3 linked regions of the Mus musculus genome follow. The protein of the gene in region 1 interacts with the protein of each later gene in a biochemical or structural test. Links are inferred from orthologs where the notes say so. Each region holds a gene or a part of one and is shown on either strand. Other genes may lie near its edges.

The links. The genes of interacting proteins can lie anywhere in the genome.
Region 2: the proteins of Ehmt2 (region 1) and Cbx3 are reported together in a solved structure, tested with the Homo sapiens proteins (2 studies listed by BioGRID, with this or other methods). The link is inferred for Mus musculus from reciprocal best matches to the Homo sapiens genes EHMT2 and CBX3.
Region 3: the proteins of Ehmt2 (region 1) and Cbx1 form a complex in vitro, tested with the Homo sapiens proteins (2 studies listed by BioGRID). The link is inferred for Mus musculus from reciprocal best matches to the Homo sapiens genes EHMT2 and CBX1.

The regions. Positions count from the first base shown.
Region 1 is NC_000083.6:34,897,093-34,902,752, reverse strand, and holds the start of Ehmt2 (histone-lysine N-methyltransferase EHMT2), read right to left. Parts: upstream 3,784-5,660; 5' UTR 3,780-3,783; coding exon 3,500-3,779; intron 3,394-3,499; coding exon 3,187-3,393; intron 3,094-3,186; coding exon 2,837-3,093; intron 1-2,836. UniProt on the Homo sapiens protein: Histone methyltransferase that specifically mono- and dimethylates 'Lys-9' of histone H3 (H3K9me1 and H3K9me2, respectively) in euchromatin.
Region 2 is NC_000072.6:51,479,426-51,484,720, forward strand, and holds the end of Cbx3 (chromobox protein homolog 3), read left to right. Parts: intron 1-2,298; coding exon 2,299-2,393; coding exon of another isoform or gene 2,394-2,397; intron 2,398-3,054; coding exon 3,055-3,181; 3' UTR 3,182-4,279; downstream 4,280-5,295.
Region 3 is NC_000077.6:96,804,945-96,809,165, reverse strand, and holds the end of Cbx1 (chromobox protein homolog 1), read right to left. Parts: intron 2,551-4,221; coding exon 2,406-2,550; 3' UTR 1,364-2,405; coding exon of another isoform or gene 1,351-1,363; 3' UTR 1,017-1,350; downstream 1-1,016. UniProt on the Homo sapiens protein: Component of heterochromatin. Recognizes and binds histone H3 tails methylated at 'Lys-9', leading to epigenetic repression. Interaction with lamin B receptor (LBR) can contribute to the association of the heterochromatin with the inner nuclear membrane.

The DNA of each region.
Region 1 (5,660 bases):
GGTCTGTTCCCTCAGCCTGGGGCCCAGGTGGGAGTATTGTGGCTGGCTGTACCTCAAAAATGCTATCTGGGGGACTGGCAAGATGGCTTAGTGGTTAAGAGCACTGACTGCCCTTCTGAAGGTCCTGAGTTCAAATCCCAGCAACCACATGGTGGCTCATGACCATGTGTAATGGGATCTGATGCCTTCTTCTGGTTCGTCTGAAGACAGCTACAGTGTACTTACATATAAAAGTAAGTAAAGCTTTGGGCCAGAGCTAGTGGGGCTGACTGAAGTGAGTAGGGTTGACCAGAGGGAGCAGAGGTCCTAAGAGTTCGATTCCCAACAACCACATGAAGGCTCACAACCATCTGTACAGTGTATTCACATACATTAAAAAACAAACAAACAAAAAAAAAACAAACAAACAAAGCTATCCGAAGGGCTGGAGGGATGGCTCAGGGTTAAGAGCACTGACTGCTCTTCCAGAGGTCCTGAGTTCAAATCCCAGCAACTACATGGTGGCTCACGACCATGTGTAATGAGATCTGATGCCCTCTTCTGGTGTGTCTGAAGACAGCGACAGGGAACTCCCATAAATCTTAAAAAAAAAAAAAAAAAGAAATGAGTTTTTAAAAAAATGCTACCCGAAAGCCGGGCGTGGTGGTGCACGCCTTTAATCCCAGCACTTGGGAGGCAGAGATAGGCGGATTTCTGAGTTCGAGGCCAGCCTGGTCTACAGAGTGAGTTCCAGGACAGCCAGGACTATACAGAGAAACCCTGTCTCGAAAAACCAAAAAAAAAAAAAAAAAAAAAATTAAAAAGAGAACAGTGGCCAGCAAGATGGCTCAGTGGGCAGGGGTGCTTGCTGCGCAAACCCTAAAACTTGAGTCTGACTCCTAGATGGCATGAAAAGGTGGAAGAGACCAGGCTCCACAGATATGTCCTCTACTGCGTCCATCCCCTCAACCTCCCCCATTACACATACACACTTATAATCAATATTTTTCTTTCAAGACAGGATTTCCCTGTGTAGCCTTGGCTGCCCTGGAACTCACTATATAGACTTGGCTGTCTAAGGAATTGTGTATACTCTAACTAGGCTGGCCTTGAACTCAGAGATCTGCCTGCCTCAGTCTCCCAAGAACTGGGATTAGAGGCGTGAGCCAGCACCACCCAGCAACAGATAAAATTTTAAAAGTTGTGCCCATATAGGAGTCTTTAAACTACTAATACAGGCATTAGCTAATCATCTATAAGGTATCTACAAGGAAGACAGATACGTGTAAGGCATATGCAAATGTTGATTCTTAGCTGACCCAGACCTTAAGAGATCCACCTGGCTCTCATAATTTTATATGAGGAGCCCGAGCAAACACGAACTTCTGTACCAGAGAAGAACAGCCACACCATGGTGAGGTAATCACTTTCCCAGAAAAAGAAAACAAGCATTGTCGGAGAGGTAGTGCAGTGGTTAAGAGCCGGTTGCTGCTCTTGTGGAAGACCCAGGTCCAATTGCCCAGCACTGACAAGATGCTCACAACCCCTTCAAACTCAAGGTCTACTGCCCCCTTGACTTGAAGGGCACCAGACACACAAGGTGGTACACAGACATATGTGCAGGTAAAACACCCAGAAGCTTAAAAGTTTTTAAAAAAAGAAAGAGTAAAGAAAAAAAAAAAGAAAGAAAAAAATTAAATGTAGAAGCTGGGTGGGGTGGATCATAGCAAGTTCAGTCTACATGAGACCATCTCAAAAAGAGGAAATAAAACAAGGGCCAGAGATATGGCTCAGCAGTTAAGAGCACTGACTGCTCTTCCAGAGGTCTTGAGTTCAAATCCCAGCAACCACATGGTGTGGCTCACAACCATCTGTAATGGGATCTGATTCCCTCTTCTGGTGTGTCTGAAGACAGTTACAGTATATTCATATACATAAAATAAATAAATAAATCTTTTTTAAAAAAAAGATTATAAATAAAAGGCATGTGTGTACACCTTCAGCCCCAGGATGTAGGAGACAGAAAAAGGTAGATCTCTGTGAGTTAAAGGCCAGCCTGGTCTACACAGCCAGCCAGCCAGGGCTACACAGTGAGACCCTGTTACACACACACACACACACAAAACAACAAAAAACAAAAACTACTCTCTCAAAACAAAATAAAGCTCAAAACAAACAACAAAATAAACGAAACAAGACCCAGAGGAAGGCTACACAAGCCATACTTAAGCTGAATCAAGAGCCCTTAAAACCTTGACATAATTTTGATTTCCAGGTTCTTGTCACACACACACACACACACACACACACACACGCCTCCGCCCACATTCTGTCATTATGTGGCCTTCCCAGGGAAGAGTTCCCAGTAAAAACTTTATCTGGTTTGAGACTGGTCTCAAAGTAGGGATTTGAAAAACAAACAAACAAACAAACAAACAAACGAACAAACCAACCTCCCTAAGCATTTGTTCAGAGGCAAAAAACAAAACAAAAAAAACACAAACTTGGGAAGGCTGATCCTGCCCAGTCATTTGTGTAATTAGGACAATAACTATATAATTAATTCTACATCTGTCAGTCTCCTCTGCTGACCACCCCTCCCCAAAGAACACAAACTCCAGGAAGCCGACAATTACTCTGCTCACAGAGGCCCAGCCCAACAGCTGACACTTGGTAGCCTATTGGTAAATTCGAAAAAAAAAATCTGAATACAAGAGGTCTAAGGCTAAATCCCGGAAGAAGGAAAAAAAAAAAAAAAAAAACCCAAAAGAACAAACCACCAACAAAAACAAAACAAAACAAAAAATCCGACCCAGAGACTCCCCAAGTCTCTCCACCCCAACTTCCACACTCTCACCTGTCCGTTGCTAGGTTTGGACATGGTTTTCCGGGCTCGGTGCACTTTGGGCTGCCCCTCCTGGGCGGCAGTTGTTGCCGGAGAGGGTTCAGGCCCAGCAGTTGCAGCTCCCTGGGCCCCGGGCATGCTCAACAGCCTCATGGCCAAACTCTGGACCGAGGGGGGCGACTTTCCTGCCCCTGTCATTGACATTTTGGCCCGACTGGGACAGGCACCCCCCTTGCTGGGGGAAGAGGGGAACGACTTTGTGGCATGGCCTAGAAAAGAGGCAGGCAGAAAGGGGGTGCAGGGTGAGCAGGCATGCAGAAAGCCCCTCTGCGCCCCGTCTCCCTCACTCCCCAGTCTCTCACCCAGCACGATGCGACCCCCATCTCCCTCCAGGCTCTCGGGTTCGTCCCCGATGAGTGATGCGGCCCCGACAGGGGTGTCAGCCCCCTCATCGCCGACGGTGACAGTGACAGAGGCCGGAGAGGAGGGGCCGGCAGGCTCCAAGGAGTCGGGGTTGGCCTTGGGAAGGGTCTCCTCACTCTGAGGGGTGTCCCCCAAAGAGCTATGAACTGTCGGGAGGGGAAAAGAAAAAGTTCAGGGCTGAAAGCTCCCGGGATCCCGTGTTGGGGGTGGGGAGGGTGGAGGTCCGGTCGGGCCTGCTCCTGCTGCACTCACCTCTCTCGGCGGCTCCTCGGGGCTCCTTCTCCAGCAGCAGCGCCCCCATCTCAGCGGGGGCCTCCCCCTGGGAGGGGAGACAAGGAACCGGGGGGCCGGTCAGCCCGGCAGGCAGCTGGGGGGCCCAAGACGCCTGGGCCCTGGGCAGCGAGAGCAGGCTTCGGGGCCTACCTCGCCCTCGGTGGGCGCCCCCCCGACCGCGGCCGCGGCCGCCCGTGGGGGCCGCACGCCCCCGCCCCCGGGCCCGCATCAGCCCCCTCCCTCTCGGCAGACCCCGCATCTCTGGGGCCGGGAGCAGAGGAGGGGGAGGGGGCGGGGCCTCCGCGCCCCGGCCCCGCCCCCTCCTCCCGGCTGCACGCGCCGCTCCCCCTTTGTCCCCCAGGCCGCGGGGACCCCGGCCACCAACCCCTGCAACGCCCGCTGCGCCCCAGCCCGGCGGACGGCCCCTCGCGCCCCTCGCGCGGGCTCCCGGGGTCGCGGTGCCCACCGCCCACGCAGGGGCAGCGGGCGGCGGCACGTGCGACTCGGCGCCCACTCCCCCCACCTCCCACCCCCTGGTCCCCTCATCCGCCCCCGGTGTTGGCCCCCTGGTTTGCTGTAAGTTCGGCTCGGGCCCCCCGGCCCCGTTGCACCCCCGGAGCATTGCACGAGCGCGCGCTTCCCCCGGGCGCGCGCGCGGGCATGCACCCGCCTCTCCCCCTCCCCTTCCGCACCTCGGCGGCCGCCGCCGCAGCAGCTCCCGCCGCCGCCGCCATCGCCGCTTGCGCGGGGGGCCGAGCCGGCGCGCGGCCGCCCCGGGTCACGTGGACAAGGAGGGAGGGCGAGAAGACGCCTTAAAGGAGCCGCTGCGGGCCTCTTGGCCATTTTTGCCCCCCAGAATGGCCCTGGAGGTCCAGAACTGGGGCCTGTAGGGGAGAGGGCGTTCGCTCCTAGCCTGGGCTCCGCCGGGAGCAAGGGTGAGGCTCGACTGGGCTGTGGCTTCCCTGTCCCCGCCCGGTTTTGGGAACACGTGTAGCCTGAGCCTTTGCAGCTGCCGCGTGTGCCTTTCCCGTTCTGAGCCGCCAGATAGAAGGCTGGGACTATATCAGTTTTGAACTTTAGTGCACAAGAAGGGGCGACAGAGACTCACGGAAGACACCTTTACTTCTGGGTCAGTGTGCTTTTGGAAATCTGGGGGAAGTGTCTTCGGTTGCACTAGATATGTCAACTGAATGCAGCGGAGACCTCAATCTATTGACAGTAACTATTTCTGCCCAAATACTTCTCCATGGAGGGGGGGGGTCATGGTCCAGCAGACAGCTTAAGTATGATGGTAGACACAGCAAGTATACAACCCTGAACACTATCGAGGGCACCATCCCCCTCCAGGCATTAAGTCCTAGCCAAAGCTTGAAAATGCCTGTATGGTTGCTCACACAATATTGGACAGACAGGTACTTATGTTACTGGGCCCAAGGCCAATTCGGCATCTTATGGGAACTGTAGTCCTCTTTGGATTAAAAACTTTTCAGAGCTTTCTGGGAATTGTAGTCTTCTAGGTAATCAACTATAAGTTTAGCTGGTATTTCAACTTTCCTTAAAACTTGAGCAAAAATATGCAACAGATGCCCTTTTGCCATCTCTGTGGGTTCACTGGTCACCTGTGGCCCATGGCTTGCACTGCCACCAAACCCCGCATGGTTTATGCCAGCACCAGGGTTGCCAATCACTGTGTGATAAGGTTTCTGCCTAAGTGTTTAGGGCGTGTTCCGAGTCTCTGCTTGAGGCTCCTTTTGGCATGGGACTACAATTGTTAGCGCTGGGAGAATCTATGGTGGGTAGTCACACACATGCAATTGCCAGAATATAAAGAAAAAATGTTTTTGTTTGTTTTTTTTGTTTATTTTTATGGAAAACAAAAACTAAAACCCCAAACTCCAGAAAAAATCCTAAAAAATAGTTTTCTTTAAAAATACTGTATGTCTCTACTCCTCTCCCTCCCCCCAACAGCCCTCCTTGTGTCCTTTTTTTCTAAGTGCCCTGCCCCCCCACCCCTCCGCTACTCACTGTTCTCGCTACTGTAGCCTAATGTCTCATTACCTACCCAGGTTGCCCACCGTGTTCTCTTACCTGGCACATATCATTTCATTTCCGGTGAGCCTTGTATCTACTTTCCCACTTC
Region 2 (5,295 bases), on another chromosome or scaffold:
GTGTAGAGGGCATTAAATCTTAATGTCGACCCTGTTGAGTCTAGATAATGATTCAGTTGTATGGATGAGAAACAAGATTGACTACACTGGAGATCTGAAAGTAAAGTGTATGCATAAGGGAGATATCTTTGTAGTAGTGCCTAAGCTAGGTTGAGCCAGCAGTATTCTAATACAGCCTAATTCATATTGATACACTGCCAGAAACCTATGACATAGGGACTAATTGTTCCTGATAGATAATAAACCTGAACCACAGAGCTTAATTAACTTTCCTAGACCTAAAGGGCTGGAGTTGTTAATCTAACCCAGTCTGACTTTAGAGTCTCGTTACACTGATGTGAAACTTCAGTAGTTTTAGTTTGTTGATATCATCACTTCTCAAATATTTATACTCAAATTACATAGGCTATAATTATCAATATTTGTTGTTTTAGAAATTGAAAAACAGCCAGAGTATGGGGCATGGCTTTAGCTCCAATACTGGGAAGACAGAGGCAGGCAGGTCTCCTGAGCTCCAGATCAGCCTGGTCTATAAGGAGGACCCCTAAGGGAGTTGGGGGCAGACATTTTAGGGCTAAAGGACTGGTTAAGAGCATGTTCTGCTCTTCCAGAGGACCCACTTGGTAGCTCATAGCAGTCTGTAACTCCAGTTCCAAAGACTCCCACACATTGATTTTTCTGACTTCCATAGGCACCAGGGACACACAAGGTACACAGACAACATATAGGTAAAATAATTAAACACATAAATAATTTTAAGATAATAGTTTCCAAGTACTAGTAATTAAAGAACATGAACTACTCTTGTAGCACTTATGTGGGTACTCAGAATTGTCTAACTCTACCTTCGGTTGGGGGAGGGGGGCTGGTTAAGTGCCCTTTCTGGTGTCCAAAAGCACCAGTACTTACAGGTGCTCAGAAAAGTACACATGGTTTTAAAAAAATAAATAGCAATACCAAAAGAAAAACCTAAACAAAATAATAGTTTATACAAATACAAGCATGCATATAAATAAAACCTATTGGGTATAGACCATGTAATGGAAAGGAGGAGTCTCTTCAATGCCTAGTTTAAGGAAGACAGGGTTAGGCATGATGGTTCATACCTATAATCCTAGCACTTGAGGGACTGAGGTAAGAGAAATGTGTTGAGACTTTGAAGCTAGCTCAGGTTTCAGAGAACTTGTCTCCAAAATAAAGCGATTATGGTTTTGAGACAGTCTCATATAGCCCAGGCTAGCCTTTAACTTCTGATCTTCCAACCTCCATCTACCAAGTACTGGATCAATAATGATTTGTTTTGTTTTTGAGGCAGGGTCTCTACATAACCCTGGCTGTCCTAGAACTCAAACTCAGAGATCCATCTGTCTCTGCCTCCAGGGTGCTGGGATTAAAGGCTTACATCACCATGCCCAGCAATAATGATTAGTAGTACGTTAAAAATGTTAACGGGGTAGGGTCTGAGTGTATGTATGTATATATACACACAGCTGCCTCAGAAGTCAGAGGAGGGAGCTGTCCCCTGACACTGGAGTTAGAGGTGGTTGTCAGCCATCATGTGGATGCTGAGAACTTAACAAAGTTCTCTACAAGGCAATTGCTCTAACCACAGAGCCATCTCTAGCCCCTTGTGGGCTTTTTATGTGTATATTTTTAAGACACAGTCTTGCTGTGTAGCCCAAGGTGCACTTAAACTTACAGTATTCCTGAGAACTGAAATTACAGTCTTGTGCTGCTATAAGTAGCTGCATATTTATTCACTTGCTTTTTTTTTTAATTGGTGGGTGGTTCTTGGTCAGATTTTACTAAATGGTCTAGGCTAGCCTTGAACCTCTAAAGGTTCTACCTTTAAAGTTCTAGGTTTATGGGCATTTAAATTTAATTTTCAAGAGTGCATAATTGCTCAGTGTGTTGTCTCATACTGTAGTTCTAATGGTCAATAAATTGAAGCAGGAGGGTTGAAATTTGGAGCTAATCTAGGCTATATAAAACTTTTATTTTATATTTTAAGAAAGGGTCTTGTCTAGCCCAGGCTTAATATTAATTCCTGCTGCTTCTGCCTCCAGCTACCAAGTGTTGGACCAAGCCCAGGATTTCTTGTATTTTAGACAAATACTCTACCAATAAAACTACGTTCCCGGTCCTAAGCATGTTTTCAAGTCAAACTGTGGTTCTTGTTCTAGTTGTTCCTGGGTTACTGTTGGGAGTTCTGATGAAAGTTGTATTTCATAAAGAATTTTTTATGCTATTTGTTGTGCAGAAATACTTAGTTAAGCTATTACCTAACCCTGTATACAGGCTGACAAACCAAGGGGCTTTGCCAGAGGTCTCGACCCTGAACGAATAATCGGCGCCACAGACAGCAGCGGAGAGTTAATGTTTCTCATGAAGTGGTGAGTGTGCGGCCAGTTGTTTTGTTGGGTTTGCTTTTTATTTTATTTTGGGCTTTTATTGTTGTTTGTTTTGTTTTTGGTTGTTTGGAGTTTTTTTTGTGTGTTTTTACCTTGTACTGTGTGTGTATATATGCATGATGGCAAGGGGAGTGTGTATATCAACGGTGTACGTTAGAGGACAGCTTTATGGAGTCCCAGTCTCTATCTCTGGATGTGGATTCCTGAGTTCAAACTTCAGGTGCCTGGCTTGTGTGCCATGCATCATTAACTGCCAAGCCTTCTTACTGGCTTTCATTAAACATAAAAGAATAGATAGGTTAGGGGTGTGTGTGTGTGTGTGTATTTTGGGGTAAGTAGGAATTGGCAGAGGTTAAACAGGGTCTCACTGTGTAGCCACCAGTGCCCCCCGCCCCAGTATGAGGGTTAGAGGCTAATTCTGTGAAGTTATATGAAAGGTTTCTTAGGATGGAATGTAATTAGCCAAGCTAGTGACTCATTCTTGTTTTGAGAAAAGAAGTTTATTGAAGTGTAACCTCAACCACCATCCAACCCTCTCGAGTAGCATTTAACATTGATTTGGATCTGACTATCATGTATTGAATGGATCTGAGTTAACTTACAGAATTTAAATGCTTAACCAGTTTATTTTCCCTCACAACAGGAAGGACTCGGACGAGGCCGACTTGGTGCTGGCAAAGGAGGCGAACATGAAGTGTCCTCAGATTGTCATTGCCTTCTACGAGGAGCGGCTGACTTGGCATTCTTGTCCTGAAGATGAAGCACAATAATTGTTTGCATTTATATATATATATTTATATATATATATAAAATCTGGATCTTGGGTTTTGAATTACTAGTGTGGAAAAAAATAGCATTCTAATGAAAATCAAGTTTGATATGCTGGTTTTGAAAGTATTGACAGTAGTTGGGATATTTTTGGTTTTTGTTCTGCATCAAAAGGCACTGATTCCTTTGAGCAAGTAAGAGCTTTCTGTAGTTGCTTCCTTTAACAATAGAATATTTGATACCATGTTGTATTTCCTCAGCTTTGAAGAACAGCTTTTCTTAAACGCTGGGGAGATTTTACAGTTATTACTCAAGTCAGAACTTATTTTTAACTGGGACACAGAAGGACCATTCTGGGTTTTTTTTTGTTTTTTTTTTTTTTTTTTTTTTGTTTCTATGTGGTGTATGCATAAAACACATAACTTGTTTGTTTTGTTTTGTTTTTAACTGAAGATGAAAATACAAGTTGATGAGATTCCCTCCTTGTGAACATTTTCCTGAAACCATAACCTTTCAGATTAAGCAGATTCTGTGATTTATTGGCTAGTTTAAAGGCAACAACATCAGAATTGATGTATTATCACATAAATACAGTGGTATATTTACAGAGTGTTGTACATGTCCCCTTTGGAAAATGGAATTAGACTAAGTAATAGTGTGATTTAATAACAAGACTTGGGCTAGAGGCAGATAGAGCTCTGACCTAAGAGGCCAGCTGAGAGGCAGAGGCAGGTCCAGGTCAGCCAGTCTATGTAAAGGTTCCTCTGGTGAACTTTGTAGAAAGTTAAAGTCTGTACTAAAAGGTTATGATTTATGGAATCTGTTTGATGTGGAAATAGAATCGTGGCTGGAGCTGACGTTGGCAATTTAAGACCTGCTAAGTGAGTGAACAAAATTTGCTAATATCAATTAATGACCTGCATGCTTTTTCTTTACCCTGACTCATTCCTTACTGGTAGGATCAGTCTTTTCAGTATTTGGGTTATGGTTCAATGAGCCAGAAAAGTAACTTTGTAGTATCAGAATGTCATCCAACTGTATATTTACTTTATTGTAAATAATGGTGAACAGTGGTCAATAAATAGTTTTATATTCCTTTATGTGATGACTTTTTTTTGTCATTGTCTGGTTTACTTTGTAATAAGGGCTGGAAACATCTACACAGTTTATCCTTTATTTGTTTTTGAGTCAGGGCCTCTTTGTATTGATGCTCTCCTTGAACAGTCATACTCTCTCAGCTTCCCAAGTGCTAGGAAACCTCACATCAAGTTAGGCTTAACTTGTGTGTTCTTGCTTCTACCTTATGAGGACTGGAACCACAGGCATATATCATGGCACATCATATTTACACACACATTTACTCACTGTCAGTATGGGCTGGGTAGTCCCAACAGTGACTATCCTTGCAGTAGAGGCTTCATAAAGCTGGAGCCATCCTGGCCTGGTGCTGAAGACGTTAAGAGGCCCAAGAAGCTTAGAGTGTGAGGGAGCAGCTTGGACAGGCTGACGAAGCCGGAAGCAAGGTTGGCAGGCAATACTTCATTTTCTTTGAATCTTCCTTTTTTTTTTTTTAAGTTTTTTGAGACAGGGTTTCTCTGTGTAGCCCTGGCTGTCCTGGAACTCATTTTGTAGACCAGGCTGGCCTCAAACTCAGAAATCCGCCTGCCTCTGCCTCCCAAGTGCTGGGATTAAAGGCGTGCGCCACCACACCCAGCTGGTTGAATCTTCTTAATGAAGATTTTGCTTTTAATTACAGGGGCTGTGAATGCCAGTACCTTATGGCTGGGGGACAGCTCTGGTATCTGGAGTTACAGGCAGTTGTGAGCCACTAGAGTGGATGCTTAGGACTGAACTCAGGCTGTCTGGAGAAACAAAGAGTTTCTCACTGCTGATCCATCTCTCCAGCCCACCTTGGACCTGTTTATATCAGGGTCACTTTTTTTTTTAAAGATTTATTATAGCCTGGAGGTGGTGGCGCACGCCTTTATTCCCAGCACTTGCAAGGCAGAGGCAGGTGAATTTCTTAGTTCGAGGCCAGCCTGGTCTACAAAGTGAGTTCCAGGACAGCCAGAGCTATACAGAGAAACCCTGTCTCGAAAAAAAAAAAAGCCGGGCA
Region 3 (4,221 bases), on another chromosome or scaffold:
GGTTAGATGGCTTAGCATGTGAAACACGGCAATCAATCTGAGTGTGGCTCCTAGAACACAACTCCACAAAGTTGTCCTCTGACTTTAACACCTGTGTACATACTAATGTAAACCAAAAGCAACAAGGGCTTCAGAGTTGACTCAGTGGTTAAGAATATTGGCTGTTCTTGCAGAGGATCCTAGTTTGATTCCTAGGTAGCCATATTTATTTGGGTTAGAACAGCTTTTAACTCCAGTTCCAAGGTATCCTATGCTCTCTTCTGTCCTCCACAGACACTGAGCACAGACACTGAGTGGTACACAGACACACCCATGGGCAAAACACCATAGAGTAAGATAATAAAATAAATAGCATCAAGGAATATGTTATGTGGGCTCCTGAATTATATGGTCCCAGCAGTCTAGAGGCAGAGGTAGGTATATCTCTGAGTTAGAGACCAGCCTGGTCTACAAAGTGAGTTCCAAGACAGCCAGGGCTATACAGAGAAGCCCTGTCTCAACTCCCCCCCACCAAAAGACAGATAACATCCAACTGAGTGTTTAATACATAATGCCAATTCCTCAAACTTTTTGGTGACAACATATGCTGATGCCATCCAACTGACTAAGCTACTTCATAAAACATGTTTTCAAATAACTATATTTGGAAGTGTTATCAGTAAATAATTTCCCAGCAATACGAAATATAGAATGATGTGCCAGTTCCTAACTATATGTTCAGCAATTATAAATGCTCAAATATTACTATATTAATAAACTGAGGCCATTTAAAAGACTAGGGCACAAGATTGAGCCTACAGTGTCCATCTATAGTCATGAAGCTGTGGCAGGCACTTTTGAGAAGCTGAGCTGAGGCAAGAGGGCTGCTGATAAGATGAAGATGCCTGCTGCAGTGGTACACACACCATGCAATTCCAGCACTGAACAGTGGAGGCATAGGATTCAAAGTTCTAGGCCAGACTGGGCAACACGGGAAGAAGACCTGGTTGGGGAAAAAAAAAGACAGAAATCAAGAATTAGAAATCTATAATTTTATTAAGACAAAAACTGACAGTATGGTATGAACTTTAAACTTAAACAGAAATTTTCACATACATCTTAACACATGCTGAAAAAGATTTTACAATGTAGTTCTATTTGTAGGTCTAGACAATACTAAAAATTGATGGATCTCATGATTCAAGACAGTATTTTGGACATCAGTTAATCTGAAGATTTTGTATTCTCAAGTGAACCACTACCCCAATATGAAAGTTAATCTCCTGAGACCAGGGCTTGTGAAGTCATTCAATCCTTGAATTGACTCAATGGAATTTGTGCTGTCAGTAACTGAACCTGCCACAAGCAGTTTCAGGGTTCAAAGCTGAAAATAAAAAAAAAAAATTAAAAAAAAAACAAAAATAGAAAAGAAAGAAAGAAAAAAAAAAAAGAAAGAGAGAGAGGGGCTCTAAGAGTTTCTACCCTAAGAGCAAAGGCCCTTCTCTTCCATCTCCCATAGGCCATCCTGCAATACTTGAGCCAATGGCTTAGATGGACAAACTGATATAACTTTGTAATTGGAAAAAGTTTTTTTTTTCTCCAATTTCAAGAATTAGCACCTCTATGGCAGAGTAGTCTGCCTCTATATACTCTCCTGTAACCTTTCCCTCTCCAGTCAGTTTCCATCATCAAATGGCAGCTTTGGTAACTCAGAACTGGCTTTGTCCTTTGTGGGCCACTTTGAGCTCAGGCTGGGAGCACCTTGGCTGTAGGTTTTAGGATTAACAGACTTTTTTTTTTTTTTTTTTTTTTTTTTAACAGTCTCTCATAGTCCTTACTTATGGTGCCAATGACATTTTTTTTGAAAAGGCAAAATATTCTGGACACAGAACCAATTTATTAGTTAGCTGTTCTACTATTTCATCATTTCCCCAATCAGGCCCCAAATTTTAACCAAAATGATTCTACCCATCTCCCTTCCTCCCTGCCCCAACCCTCCCACCCCCAATTAATATACCAGTAATAGCCAAAAACTACACACATGCTAGGCTGTAAAAATGCAGTTAACACTATCGGGAAGAAGGCTGTGGGTTGTGGAGATGCTCTTTGAAGATCGACAGTATCTTTGCTTTCCCACACCCCAGTTCTGCAGGTTTTGTCCTTCATGGAAGGCCAACTGCTTCCTTAGCAAAGCGCAGAACAGGTTGCCTTGAAACACTTACCCTTTCCCCTCCACTGGGATGGGTGTGCAAACTACACAGCTTGAACAATTTAAAGCACTTGGGCAGCTGCAGGACACACAAACTATGCTGGCTCTTCAAAGGACATCTTCTCAAGCCACCTCTATGGTGTCAAGACAAGTATAACTCCTTCCCTCCCCCTTGAAACCCACAGTCAGAGGTGACAGGGGCTGGTACTCAACAGGGCTAATTCTTGTCGTCTTTTTTGTCATCATCCTCTGAGGGGTAGGAATGCCACGTTAGCCTTTCCTCATAGAAGGATATGACAACCTGTGGGCACTTGACATTGGCTTCCTTGGCAGGGACCAGGTCAGCCTCATCAGAGTTTTTCCTGTAGAACAAAGCACAAAGAGACTTTGAGATCAGCCGTTGTGGTCCCGTTTTGGACCACCCAGGGAATGGGGCTTTTAAAGTCTAAATTCCAGAAACAAACTAGGAAAGAGGATGCAAGCATTTACTGGGCAAGTGTTGTCACACGATCCCCTCAAAGATATTCCTCTGTTAAAAATCCCCTCTAAGGGCAGGTCTCTGTGAGTTCAAGGCCAGCTGGTCTACAAAGTGAATTCCAGAACAGCCAGAGTTATACAGAGAAACCCGGTCTCAAAAACTGAAAAAAAGAACAAAAACAAACAAAAGTCCTCTAAGAAACTTCAAAAGGTAGGTCATCTGACTCAACTACTTCTTTGAAAAGGGCCAAAAAAAGCTTAATTAGAATTTCAGAAGCTAACCTGGCGTGGAGGTGCACACCTTTAATCCCAGCACTTGGGAGGCAGAGGCAGGCGGATTTCTGCGTTTGAGGCCAGCCTGGTCTACAGAGTGAATTCCAGGATAGCCAGGGCTACACAGAGAAACGCTGTCTCAAAAAAAAACAAAAACAAAACAAAACCAACAACAAAAAAAAACCCTAACCAAACCAAACCAAAGAATTGCAGAAGCTAGACAAGATTAAAATCTGAAAATGATATACACATAGGAAGTTAACTATGAGTAAATTCTATCCATTTATCTTCAGCACATTGGGCCTAGCCCAGACAGAGGCAGCAGCATGGGGCAGTTAAACAGATACATGATAGAACGTGACAAGGCACCACCACAAACCTCCACAACCTGACCATGAACAAGGGTTTAGAGTCACAAAGAACCTCAGAATAAGCTGATAAGCTTCTCTTTTAAGAATCCACATCAAAGCCGGGCGTGGTGGCGCACGTCTTGAATCCCAGCACTTGTGAGGCAGAGGCATTTGGATTTCTGAGTTTGATGCCAGCCTGATCTACAAAGTGAGTTCCAGGACAGCCAAGGCTATATAGAGAAACCCTGTCTTGAAAAACAAAACAAAACAAAACCCAACAACAACAAAAAGAATCCACATCAAGATGATGGGAAATGTACTGAATCCTACTGGGGTATCTAACACATAGCCAGCCCCCTTAAAGATTCTGTAGTAAGTTTAAGTCCATGCAACAATTTAATTTTTTTTCTGTGTGTATCTTTTGCCTGTACATATGTATACACCATGTGTGTCTGGTGCCCTTGGAGGTCAGAAGATGGTGTTAAGATTCCCTGGAACTAGAGTTCTATAAGGTAGTGAACTATAATGTGGGCACTGGGAACTGAACATGAATCTTTTAGAAGAGAAGCCAGTTATCTTAACTGCTGAGCCATCTCTCTAGCCCCACATTTCTTTTTTTAATGTGCATGTATGTGGTACTAGGAATAGAAGCCAGAGCTCTGTGTGTGTGTTCTGCAAGTGTACAGAACCATGAGTGTGTACGTCTATCAGTCTTATTTTACTACTGTTATGAATCATAATGTAAACATCAAATACACAGGATATCTAATATGTGGCCTCTGTGAATCGGTCATTTGGCCTCCAAAGGGGTCATGATCCACAGGTTGAAAGCTGCGGCTCTATGTTGTTTTGCAACTGGATATATAGACCAGCTAGCTTCAAACTCACAGAGATCCACTTGCCTCTGCCTCAAAGTGTTGGGATCAAAGGTGT